Linked DNA regions of Nothobranchius furzeri. Each later gene encodes a partner of the first gene's protein in a complex. Links are inferred from orthologs where the notes say so. Each region holds a gene or a part of one and is shown on either strand. Other genes may lie near its edges.

What was found. The genes of interacting proteins can lie anywhere in the genome.
Region 2: the proteins of gdf5 (region 1) and bmpr1aa are in contact, whole or in part, in a crystal structure (PDB 3QB4), measured with the Homo sapiens proteins. The link is inferred for Nothobranchius furzeri from reciprocal best matches to the Homo sapiens genes GDF5 and BMPR1A. Residues at the interface, in NP_000548.2 of Homo sapiens: Arg399, Phe435, Pro436, Leu437, Ser439, His440, Glu442, Pro443, Asn445, Val448, Ile449, Leu452, Ser455, Met456, Pro458; in NP_001393490.1 of Homo sapiens: Gly65, His66, Cys67, Pro68, Ile77, Thr78, Phe83, Ile85, Glu87, Cys100, Met101, Lys102, Glu104, Gly105, Phe108, Gln109, Asp112, Ser113, Lys115, Ala116, Gln117, Arg120, Ile122.
Region 3: the proteins of gdf5 (region 1) and twsg1a are in contact, whole or in part, in a crystal structure (PDB 8BWL), measured with the Homo sapiens proteins. The link is inferred for Nothobranchius furzeri from reciprocal best matches to the Homo sapiens genes GDF5 and TWSG1. Residues at the interface, in NP_000548.2 of Homo sapiens: Glu434, Phe435, Pro436, Ser439, His440, Glu442, Asn445, Val448, Ile449, Leu452, Ser455; in NP_065699.1 of Homo sapiens: Cys26, Lys28, Cys31, Ala32, Ser33, Val35, Ser36, Leu39, Ile40, Cys44, Gln45, Cys46, Arg47, Cys73, Val74.

Annotation. Positions count from the first base shown.
Region 1 is NC_091743.1:78,134,794-78,138,846, reverse strand, and holds the start of gdf5 (growth/differentiation factor 5), read left to right. Parts: upstream 1-1,244; 5' UTR 1,245-1,788; coding exon 1,789-2,416; intron 2,417-4,053. UniProt on the Homo sapiens protein: Growth factor involved in bone and cartilage formation. During cartilage development regulates differentiation of chondrogenic tissue through two pathways.
Region 2 is NC_091752.1:44,663,071-44,667,266, reverse strand, and holds the start of bmpr1aa (bone morphogenetic protein receptor, type IAa), read left to right. Parts: upstream 1-1,391; 5' UTR 1,392-1,554; intron 1,555-4,196. UniProt on the Homo sapiens protein: On ligand binding, forms a receptor complex consisting of two type II and two type I transmembrane serine/threonine kinases.
Region 3 is NC_091751.1:42,813,373-42,817,642, forward strand, and holds the start of twsg1a (twisted gastrulation protein homolog 1-A), read left to right. Parts: upstream 1-1,465; 5' UTR 1,466-1,657; intron 1,658-2,079; 5' UTR 2,080-2,102; coding exon 2,103-2,228; intron 2,229-4,270. UniProt on the Homo sapiens protein: May be involved in dorsoventral axis formation. Seems to antagonize BMP signaling by forming ternary complexes with CHRD and BMPs, thereby preventing BMPs from binding to their receptors.

The DNA.
Region 1 (4,053 bases):
TGTGTGTGTGTGTGTGTGTGTGTGTGACGACCAAATAGGTCACCTGACTTTCATGGTTCTGATTACTGTTTAAGGTTCTTGGATGAGGTTTAAGTCCTGAACTCCTGACCCAGGATCAGAGCTGAAGAACATCTTAAAGGAACAGGAGAAGAAGTCCTGTTTTGTTTCTTCATCCTACCTCATCAGAGTTTTATTTCCGCTCTGAACTCCATGCAGATGAAAACATTTCTGAGTCAAAGTCATGGTTTGTTTCATCAACCTGCCACTTTACCTTCCTGTGATGTGACTTAGTGAGGGTTTGGCACCAACAGCAACTTGAAACAGGAAAGAGTCTTTTGGCTCTTTGGTGCAAAACCTGCAGCAAAAGTTAAGCATGACTAATGGTGAATGAATGGAGCCCATTTGGTCAGCCATGACATGTTAAAATATTTAAAAAACAAGAATCTAAACTTCTCTCTAATCTGTAGACTCATGACTTTATGAAAGGTTTAATGCATCTTTTTCCATATAATCATCTGAGGAAGGAGGTCAGATGTGAGGGTTGCTTTTCTCTACTGAATTATCAGAGGCTTCACTCAAGCTAATGATTAGTCCTAATTTTAATCTGAGTTTTGGGGTCTTCAGATCAAACCTCAACAGATGTCTACGTGTTCTCCAGCTTGGGACTCACCTTCAGGGCTTCATCTCATTGTGTTTTATAAAGTAACTGGAGCCTCAGTCTCCTTCATCTGGCCTTAGAATAGGAAACATCCAGCTGCTGCAGCTCTTCAGAGCCACACAGATGTGTGTGTGTGTGTGTGTGTGTGTGTGTGTGTGTGTGTGTGGGGCAGCAGTAGCTCAACAGGTTGAGCGGGTTTTCCAGTAGTCGGAAGGTTGCAGGTTCGATCCCGGCTCCGGACAGAGAATTCTGCTGTTGTGTCCTTGGGCAAGACACTTAACCCAGCTTGCCTGCTGGCGGTGGTCGGAGGGACCAGTGCTCGGCAGCCTCAACTCTGTCAGTGTGCCCCAGAGCAGCTGTGGCTACATCGTAGCTCATCACCATCAGTGTGTGAATGGAAGAATGATACACTGTAAAGCGCTTTGGAGTCCTTACTCTGGCGGGCGCTATACAAAAGTGGGTCATTTATCATTTATCATAATTTGTGTGTGTGTGTGTGTGTGTGTGTGTGTGTGTGTGTGTGTGTGTGTGTGTGTGTGTGTGTGTGTGTGTGTGTGTGTGTAAAAGAGGGAGGAAGATGTGGGCTGAATTATCACTGTTAAATGAGTTGGGACAGAATGACATCACGGCGTAATTAAAGCCGCTCTCTGGAATTCCTGCTCAGGTCTGCTGCAGGATTCTGGAGCACCTGCGGGTTGTTGTGTGTGAGTGAAATATTTTCACTGGACAGAGTTCAAGCTTTGGAGGGAAAGAGAAAAAACGGAGGCAACCGCATTACGCCATACTCTCCTCACATGGAAAAAAGAAGTGGGATTTAAAGAAGTTGTTACATGGTACCAAGCAGAACAGTTCGCTGGAGAGCAGAAGACGGGTCCAGGTCTCAGAGTCTCACCTGTCCACCATCAGCAGTATGGTTCTGACACCTGACCCTGACCAAATGACTCTTTTAACCCTGTGAGAGTCAGACCCCGTTTCTCTAGCGTTTGGGAGCGAGACGCGCATTTTGGACCTCACGGGTCTGAGGATGAGAAAGGTCACTGAACTTCCCGCGCTCCTGGTGTCGGCTCAGCGGGTCAGATCGTTCTGAAGAGATTTATAGACGATGTGCCAAAAGGCTGCAGAGATTTAGGATGAGAGTGAAGAATCTTCCCCTTCTGCTCAGCTGGACGATAGTCTTCCTGCATCCCGTCCGCGGTTCGCTCAGCAGAACCAGAACCACCTTGGAGCGAACGGGAGGAACCGCTGGCTCTTGGAAACCAGCTCCTCGTGTGCGCGTGAGTGCGCTGCCGACCACAGGTGAGACGAATTTTGCCAGTCAGAAACCAGCGGGGATCTCCGCTGCACCGGGGAGGCTGGACCAGCCGCAGCAGGACGGAGCGCAAAGATCCGCGTGCAGAGAGGCTGTGTGCTCCTGGCGTCCCGCCGCTAAGGCACGTGTTGAAGCGCACGCGCCCGCAGCTGTTAACGCAAATGCTGCCAGGAAAGGAACTGAGACGTTTGGAGGAGGTGGCTCACCGGGGAAAGCCGCTTCCAGGGCGGGCGCAGCAGCCGCCGCTGCGCGCAGCGGGTATGAGCAAAAACAGAGCGCGGCTGTGGAGCGGGGCGTCAGCATCAAGTCACCGAAACCAGGCGCCAGGCAGCCGGTGGTGACCCCTCACGACTACATGCTGTCTCTGTACTGGTCACTGAGCAGCGGAGACGTGAACAGCAGCGCGGCTCTGGCCAACACCATCACCAGCTTTGTGGACAAGGGACAAGGTAACTGTCTCTGTCCTCTATAACGAAGACTATAGGCTTTCAAAGGAACAGAAAGAAAGAAAGAAAGAAAGAAAGAAAGAAAGAAAGAAAGAAAGAAAGAAATGAAAAACTGAATAACTTTCCTAGGATTTGGATCCAGTTCTGGGATCAGATGGTTTGGAAGCAGCAGAATGTTCTGTCGGTCATGTTTCAGTTGTAGGGAAACATCACTGCTGCTGCTCACACACAAACCTTACTTAAAACCAACCATTTAGTTCTGAGTGAAGATTTGGTGAAGGAGGGCTCTGTAGACCTCCACAGATCTAGGATCAGTAGGAGAAAGAACAGGATCTGAAGGGAAGGCCTGTGATTGGTTTAGCTCATACTGGAATAAAAGATATTTTAGTGTTTGCATTGAAAACTGTTCTTCTCGACCTCTAGGGTCCCCCAGGGTTCAGTTTTGGGTCCTTAGCTTTTCTCGATCTACATACTTCCTCCAGGCATCATTCTAAAAAAACTTAGTAAACTATCACATTTAATGCCTGGCAAGCCCGACTAAATAATATATTATTAAGTCCGGCAACACTCCATCGATGGCTCTCGGGCTCTACAGTTGCCTTTCAAACGATCTCCCGCACGCTACTGGACAATGAACAACGTGGCATACTCACCACAACGGATGTCGATAAACGAGGTTGTAGAAGGTAAAAATACATCCTTTTTCTAAATAAACAACTTAAAAACGTGTATCTGCTCCTGGTTCAATAAAGCCCAAGTCCCAATAGTCCAGAATTAATGTAAAACCCATTTAAAATGAGCGGTCGCCATTTTTTTCCACTCTTGCATCATCCCGCCCACCAGACAAACAGAGGTCCGTGATTGGTCCACAAAGCAGATAGGTCACTGTGACCGGCCCACCATTGTGGACCAATCACAGCGCTCTATCAGTTTGAAACCCCTCTAGAGAGCTGTGATTGGCCAGCCAGAATGCTGCTAGGGGCTGCAGAGGTTCTAGTGGAGCGTTCCTAGACCAAAGTTTGGTCTAGTTCACTAGACTAGTTCTGGGCTAGTTCACTAGGCTACACATGTATGCAGATGACTGACTACTACTATGTCAGCCCAAGCTCTCCTGCAGTCTGTGTTCAGGATCGTTCCTCTGTAATTAAAACCTGTTTTTCCTCTAATTACCTTCATCTAAATGAGGACAAAACCAATGCTATTGTAATAAAAGTAGCCGTGGGCAGCACGGGCAGAATATCTTGCCCTCCGGTCAGAACCTGAACACACCACCAGTAGGCAACGACTTATAAAAGACACACTTTATTGCACAACCAATAATAAAACACAACGATAAAACACCATGGCCCAAGCCCTCTCTTGTAAAACCAACTGTCCAGCATGAGTCACGTAAGCAGCGGTACTTAGCTGTCACGGATGGTGTGACCCCCGTCCCCGGGGTCTGAGCTTCCAACGCCGTCCAACGCCCCGGGGTGTAGCTTGCGAGGACGGCGGGTAAATCCACAACATAAGTCCACTGCCAGAGTCCGTAGCGGCAGATGTCGGCGCGGCCTTGGCATCACCTATGCCCAGCCCTAACTGTCTAAAGAAGGCGACCAGCCTTCCCTCCTGGCGCTGGAACACTAAACACCTGTTCAGCT
Region 2 (4,196 bases), on another chromosome or scaffold:
TGAGGGTTGCACCCTGCCAGGGTTGCCCTTTGTCACCGGTTCTGTTCATAACCTTCATGGACAGAATTTCTAGGCGCAGCCGTGGTGTGGAGTGTGTCGAGTTTGGTGGCAGGAGAATCTCGTCTCTGCTTTTTGTGGATGATGTGATCCTCATAGCTTCATCCAGCTCTGACCTTCAGCTCTTACTGGGTTGGTTCACGGACGAGTGTGAAGCGGCTGGGATGAGGATCAGCACCTCCAAATCTGAGACCATGGTTCTCGACCGTGAAAGGGTGGCTTGCCAACTCTGGGTCGGGAGAGAGGTCCTACCTCAAGTGGAGGAGTTTAAGTATCTCGGGGTCTTGTTCATGAGTGAGGGTAGGAGGGATCGGGAGATCGACAGGCGGATTGGTTTGGCATCTGCAGTGATTCGGACGCTGAGCCGATCTGCTGTGGTGAAGAGGGAGCTGAGCCAGAAAGCCAGGCTCTCGATTTACCGGTCGATCTATGTCCCAATCCTCACCTATGGTCATGAGCTTTGGGTAATGACCGAAAGAACGAGATTGTGAATACAAGCGGCCGAAATGAGTTTCCTCCGTAGGGTGGCCGGGCTCAGCCTTAGAGATAGGGTGAGGAGCTCGAACATTCAGGAGGGACTCGGGGTAGAACTGCTGCTTCTCTGGATCGAAAGAAGTCATTTGAGGTGGTTTCGGCATCTGGTCAGGATGCCTCCTGCACACCTCCCTGGGGAGGTGTTTCGGGCATGTCCTGCTGGCGGGAGGCTCCCCGGTCGACCCAGGACACATTGGAGAGGTTACATCTCCAATCTGGTCCGGGAACGCCTTGGGGTCCTGCCGGAGGAGCTGGTGGAGGTGGCTGGGGAGAGGATGGTCTGGAGCTCCCTAGTTGGGATGCTGCCCCCGCGAACCGGACCCGGATAAGCGGAGGAAGATGATAATGACAATTTTGTCTTAAATGTCTTCAAATTTTGATTTCAAATCTTTCAGTATCTAAATTAATATGTTAACTTTGCTGGTCAGAATAAGTTATTATGGGACTTACTGTAGAGCTGGACCTGCACTTTTTATTATTTTAATCATTTATACCATTTTAATTTCTCATAATACCAAATAATTTATTTGTATATTAAAGCCAGAGTCTGTGTTTATTTCTTCAGACAAATAATTATATTTTCAAAAAATGCCTAAATGAATAGTTTGACGCAAACAAACTATTTATTAATCCGAGATTCATCATCAATCTGCTTATCATCTATTGCATTTACCAGGAAATAGTCGTGCTGGACAAAAACTCCGTGAATACGTTAGGAACCTTAGAGTGAGCCGTCTTCACGCTCATAGACTATCTTAGTTGTGTTTGCTCTTCATCGTCTAACAGGAAAAACCGCAGAGTGAGAGGTCTTGCGGCTGGAGGAGGACGGCACTGAAAACATCGCAGAACTCGCTGGAATTTCGAGTTTCTGTTCCGCTGCTGCTGGTCTGGATCTGACCCACGGGATCGTTTTTAAAACAGGAGAAACAATCGGAAGCCAAACCAAAGCACCAATTAAAACAGGTAAGGCAGGTCCGCCCTAACCCATAACTTCTTACGGGTCCAAACCCTGTATGTACAGTCTATGGTCCTAACCCAATTGTCTCACCGTCTATGTCCTGGAGCATAAGTTACACACGGGGTTTAAAGGTGTTTGTTGTAAAACAACCGCGGAATTGCTTTCACAAGATGGACGAGTGTGTTTTTTTTTAACCAAAACTATGTGTCGCCTTGACATCAATATTATTTGATGATTTTACATTTGGTTTGTAGACTCAAGTGATTTAGTAAGAGTCCCATGGACTGATTTCTGCGTTGGCGCCAGGACATAGACGCATCCAACCGGGGGAAAAGTTTGCTTTACTTTAGCCGTAACTCGAAATCTCGCTGTTTTTAGGCGGAAATCACATTTTTATTTTATTTTAAAAGACTCCAGTTGGTGTCAGGCAAACGAGTCACTTTGTGTTTTTGTTTATTCTAAACCAGTTTGTTTACCGCTCGTTAGCCTGTTAATCGGTTAGCATGCCGGCTAGCCTTTTTTCGTAAATGGCTGGGAAAGTTAAAATGCGACAACCCTTTCGTGAGATTCTGGTTGTTTGTGAAGGTTGCATTTAGTGTGGACGTGCCCGGGTCAGACGGGTGTTTTTATCGTAAACAGGCAGCGTCCTCCTGGTTTTTGTCCCCGTGGGTGCTGCTGGTTTGGGACCAGTCTCATTTGCATCAACTCCATCAGCTGTCTGCTTTCTAACATTGTGTTTATTTATCTCCTCAAACTCGAGTAACGTCTTTGATCTGTTGCGTTGTGACTTTTAAGGGTAACTGGTGACTTATGTCAGAGAGGAGGTGTCTACCGCGTCATGGCTCATGACTGAGGTTGTTGTGGTTGTTGCTGATGGGACTCATCACTCAGCAGCCAATTAAAACCTCTAGTTCTATTCTTCTTTCTTTTTTATTTTACTTGTTCCCATCCAACCCCTAGGCCCAAACCGATGCTGGCTTTACATGAAACATGATCTAATCTAATGTCACAAACTCCTGAAGGGTAACAGCAGAGCTGCTGGAGAACCATCTGGGCTAAATGGTTGGTTCTGGTCTCGTTTGAACTCTTCAAATTGTTCCTAACACAGTCAGAATGGCTGCAGACTGAGCTCCAGATGTCTGAATGTGGTTAGAGCAGAGAGATGTCTGACCGGAGCACAAACGTTGGTTGTAATCGTGCTTTGGGCCAGTTCAGGCTCAGTAATGTAGAATCGTGTCAAAAAGCTGCACGTCTGGGCTGATCCACACATAGATTTGGCGTGGCTCCAACCACAGCTGCTGCCAATCTTTTTTCTGATGTTGACTAATCTGTGATTTCATTGATGCCTGCTTCCTGTGGGTCTCTGTAACTAGAACCTTCCTCAGAACATTCATGTAAGGACCAGTAAAGCAAAGGAATCAGAGTCAGAAGGGTTTATTTCCATATGTGTGAGAAGGTTCACAACATTAGGTAGCTGCTGTGGTGCTTGGTGCAAAAATCAGAAATAAGTACAATAAAATAATAATAATGTAGAGAAGCAACAGAGAAAAGACTAATATACACAAAACAAGTCGGTACTGGTGAGAGCAGATCAGACACAACACTGGGTCAGGTGACTGGAGTGGGCAGTCCTAGGATTGTTATTCATGAGTCCAACTGCAGAGAGATGAGAGGTTCGGGTCCAAATGGATCAGAACCTCCTGATGGAGCAAATCTAAAAGACTGTCCAGGGTGAAATGGTCCTGGAGGTGTACAGGTCCTGCATAGAGGGGTGTTTGCAGCCAATGACCTTCTCAGGTGAGCGTACAAGCCACTGCAGCCTCCTCTTATGTCTGATGGAAGTGTAACAGTCTGCTCACTAACACACCGTAAACACTGCTGTTGGTTGGAACTCTAATGTGGCGATGGTGATAGAACGTGTGCTGATCTACCAACGCAGAGCGACGGTGGAATTATTCACATTAGGGCTGGACAATATATCTGCATCAGAATCGGTATCTGCCGTTGTTTTTAACATGTCAGTATCGATCCGATAAAAAAAAAAATACTGGGCTGATATTATCAACCGATATTTTTTTCATCTTGTCACCATTTGTTTGCCTGTTTCAGAGGGTGAGGGGGTGATGTGTGTTTGTTTAGTCACGTGACAGTGATCGTAATCATCTCAGAAGCATACATGTGTGTGTTGCATGTACGTAATAACAAATTCAGCTTTAATGATTTTCATTCTATACAAAATCTGCTGATTTCAGAAGCATTAATGTCAGTATATCAGTATCGGCCATAACAATGACCTTAATATCGGTATTAGGGTTGTCACGGTGTGAAAATTTAACCTCACGGTTATTGTGACCAAAATTACCACGGTTTTCGGTATTATTGCGGTATTTTTTTAAACGTGCTACATTTTCATACAATTAAATAAACCCTGTTTGTCAGAAAATATTGTCCTCAGTTTGTGTCTAAGTTTAGCCTAAAATGTGTTATTTTGTAATGATGTTGTTTATTTGTTTACATTTTTTCCCTTTAGTCTTTAAAATACCAATATTTGCCCATAACTTCTTATTTTATGTCTGTTTGATGTCATCATTTTAAAAATATTAGATCAGATGATACTCAGTACTCAAGTAGCCTTCTAATCAGATAC
Region 3 (4,270 bases), on another chromosome or scaffold:
ACCCTTCGTGTGTTCTTCACTGAGTCTCGCACACATTAAAGTCTGTTGTTGCTTCCAGAAGAAACCAGAAAAAAACTTTTACAGTTTCAATGTGAGATCACAACAAATCCTATTTTTTCAACATAATGCCTTTTGAACGATAGTTCTAAAAAAATGTCTATTTTAATATTTACTTGTTACATGACTTGTATATAATTGAATAAATTTTATTTGTTGTGAAATTACATTTTGGTTCGTGTGAGTTCTTCATTTTGACTTGAATGTGTCTCCTCCACCAGTAGGAGGTGCTATTGGTGACAGAAGCGCAAAGCTCCATTAAATGTCCTTATTTTAATTATTAAAACACTGAAAACAAGAGAAAATAGTTACAATATTAATTTATTATGAAATAGTAAAGATGATAAATATTAGGAATTATTGTGACATTCCTTTTTCTACATTCTACAATTATTACATTAGGATTGTAATAATTATTCCAGATGTTTTAAGGCATCTCTAAAGTAGACTTGTATTTAAGTATATTTGTCACGAATTCATTTTTCAATAAATACAAATTTTCTAAAATATTGAAACTTGATTTTAGTTCTCCATCTTAAAAAGATTCAAAGAAACATTTAAACTCAATTTTTTAAAATGCACACGTGAGAATTAAAAAGTACTCAATTAGGTCATTTTTATTTTTAAATGTTTAAATAAAATGACATACTCAGTAATATGTTGTTCAATTAAAAACAGTAAGCGTATCTGAAGAAAATCAAACCTTAAATTAGTTTATTTAAACGTAGCTGTCTCCCTACACGTTTTACACATTAAACCAATTTGTTTTATTTCATAAATTTAATGATTTACTTAGACTGATTTGTAACTAATTAATCACTAAATCAGCTCTTTTAAACAAACTTGTTTTGTATTTTTCTGCATTCCCCTTGAAAAACGACCCAAACTGACTGTTAGCCCGTCTCCCCCTGCCTCCCCCTGAGTCTGATTAAAATGCTAATTTGCCTCCTCTTCCTCCCCTCGGGCCGGAGGAGGAGCCCCTGCGGAGCTGTAATTGGCCCCTCGGAGCCTCTCCGTGTCGGCTACAAACGTATGTACAGTCTATGGCTACAAATGAGCGCGGAGGGTCGCTCCTCAGCGGGGAGTCCGATCAGCTTCACAGCTTCCGAGTCGGCCTTTCTCACCTATGAGCTCACCCACAGAGCCGCTGATGGGCGGGGGTCAAGGGGGGAGGAGGGGGTGGAAAAGAGGCAAATAAAACCACGCTCACGTGCTGGAGCGGATTTTATGCAGATCTGCAGCGTATTTTGAGTTTTTGCTCCAAGAAGCCCCCCCCCCCCCCCCTCTCTCTCTCTCTCTCTCTCTCTCTCTCTCTCTCTCTCTCTCTCTCTCCTTCCCCTTCCTCCCCCTGGGTGAGTCAGGCTCCCTCAGACCTGAGGACCGGTGTTTTCCTCCACAGAGCCGAGCTGGGAAAAATGGAGCTTGTGCCTTTAAGGCGCCCGACTGCCTGTCGCTTTGTGCTGCGGAGAGACTGACGCCCTGTGGACACAGTGGACACTTGAGCGGTGGCAGGAACCCCATCCTGGAGAAGTTCAAAGAGAAAGCACAAGTCGGTCCTTTGGAGAACAGAGACGCTGAACGGCTGTGAAACCGCGCTGTGGTGAGTTTTCCAACACCTCATCTCTTTGTTTCCTCGCTGCGTTTGTTTCTCTAAGCGCGAGAGAGCAAAAAGGAACGAGAGACGAGGGCTTAAAGAAACGCGCAGAGGAATGAGGCAGCTAATGTTCCTCACATGTTTCCTCTCCCTCATGTGAAGCAGGGAGGCAGAAGAGAGGAGCAGAGTTTGATGAAACCGGTAGAAAATGGGTGAAGGGGGCTGATGTTGCCAGATGTTTTGAATGAAATCTGACTGCAGGCCTTTTTAGAATGTTAACTTTGCATGACAGAACTGTGATTTCCATGATGTTTGCAATTAGATTTAATACATTTTGAGTACTTTGGATTAGAAATAAGCCAAACAGGTGAGTGTTTGTAACTGCACCTCCTGTCACTCTCCCTCTGAGATTTATTCCTCTTTTCCAGTTGGAAGGTGGTGACCCGTCAGGATGAGGCCTGGTCAGCTGATCCTCCCCGTCACAGCAGCTCTCCTCTTCCTCCTGTCAGGGCTGTCTCTGACCTCTGGGTGCAACAAAGCCCTCTGTGCCAGCGACGTCAGCAAGTGTCTCATCCAGGTAACTCTGCATCCTTCACAACCACGCCAAATCCACCCCACTTGGGAGGCAAGTGTGGGTTCTGTGGTTCTGGTCTCAGCTGGATGATGCAATCAGATCCTGAGTGTAGTGATGAAAGCAGGAAAAGTGCAGCCGAGTTCAAGCTTTTTTCCCCCTTTTCCAGCTGTTTCATATATACAGACACTGTTGATATCCCCGACAGGAACACAACGGAGGAGCGGGAGAGCCTCCGATCCCACTTTATTGCTTTTTCCAAATAAAACCTCACATTAAGTTTCTTTCTTCAGCTTTCAGCCCAGAACAAAGACGGGATCTGTTTGGGAAGAATGTCGATGAATTCCTCTGATAAGCAAGGAAACGTTGGAACAAATAGTTGTTTTCCAGAAAGCAGAGATGATTATTTCACCTGAGCTGCTGTTAGAATTACAGCTCTGGTTGTCTGGGAGCTTTTTTCCTATAGCTCTGACTTTTCATCTGGGACTTTTCCCAGATGTCACTTTTCCCCTTTCCCATCCACAGCCGTTTTGCACTTGCGGAGCGGGAAGAAGTCCCATTAGCATCCTTAAAGAACAGTCTTTACCTGAGGTGTGTTTCACTTGCATGACCTCAGCCACAGTAATCCGTGGGGATGTTTTTAGCAGGTAAAAGGATCCTCTCACTGGGATGTTTGCAGTTTTTCATGCTAATGAATACTTTGTTTGAAGGTGAGATATGCAAGCTTCAGATTAAATCAGCATTCAGCTGAACCAGAAACATGAATGCACCTTTGTACCAAAAACACACCTGGAGATAAAAAAAACAAACATATCCAGCGTGGTTCTAGTTTCTGTATAAATACAAAAGCTCTTTGATCTAATGCAAAGCTCAACGATCAAAGCATTTGCCACAAATTAAAGCTAATTGCTGTACATTTTGTTGGCTGGTTACCCATCTCAGATCCCTTTCCTTTCAAAAAAGTCAAAGAGGGATGTAGTCTTTGTTTACGATCTGTAAGCCGAAGGGTTGCCAAGTGTACGCTGGTAAACGCTGCTGAGCCGGCAGCATGTATTTGGTGTATTTCGACACCATCCAGAAAAAGGCATCAGGGTTGTGAATGGTGTGTTAGCCAGTAACAGGAGCGGCCCAGTTGTTGTTGTACCCTTAAAGAGCAAGTCACCCCCAAATCAACTGCTTTTTTCTGATAAACTATATAAATGCATGTCTAATCGTGCTGCAGACACGTGTAGGCAATAGTTTTGCACTTAAGTGTATTTTAGTTTAAATTTTAAATTTTCTGCCTAAAACTGTCAGTGTTGTGCCGTTGTCAGATAAATACTCTGCACTTCATTTGAATTTAAATCTGCCATCGCTATTGGCTAGGACACATGTGTCAGACACAAGGCCCGTGGGCCAGATGCGGCCAGCGGAGCATTTTTATGTGGCCCGCGAGATAAATATCAAAAATATATTAAAACTGACCCACTGGCTGATTTTACCGCAAAGACTACAACTCCCATGATGCTTTGCGGCATTAGCGCGGAGCCGAAGCGCCCCTCCTTTGTGTTTTTTCCAGCGTCTGCTGCCAGTGTCTGCAGCTCCGCTGTCTCAGACAAACTAAACACTCCTCTCACTCAACGCAGAGTTCACTCAGCTATTTTCCGACGTTGAAGCCCAGAAACGGAGGTTTTAACCGCTCAGTAATGTGTTCATGACTGAAAGAGAAAGTTTTCCAACTAATGTCCAGACAGAGCTGATATAACTCCAGCGAGCAGCGACACGCTCAAACCAGCACGGCTCTGTTGTTGCTGTTGTTGTGTTTCCTCCCCGACACACAACAACGTGGTCAAGCTGCTCAGACATGTTCATCAGCACAAACCTATGTGAGCACCTGTTGTCATCTAATGTTGTCATTATTATGATGAAGATGAACAAAACAACAGGAGTCTCCTCCTCAGCTCAGATCAACCCCATGATGCAGGTATCTGGCTGGAACAGGTGAGCATCACAGTAAACCAGTGGAGCAAACTGAGCTTTAAATATTTAGGTTTTCTGCTCATTTTCTG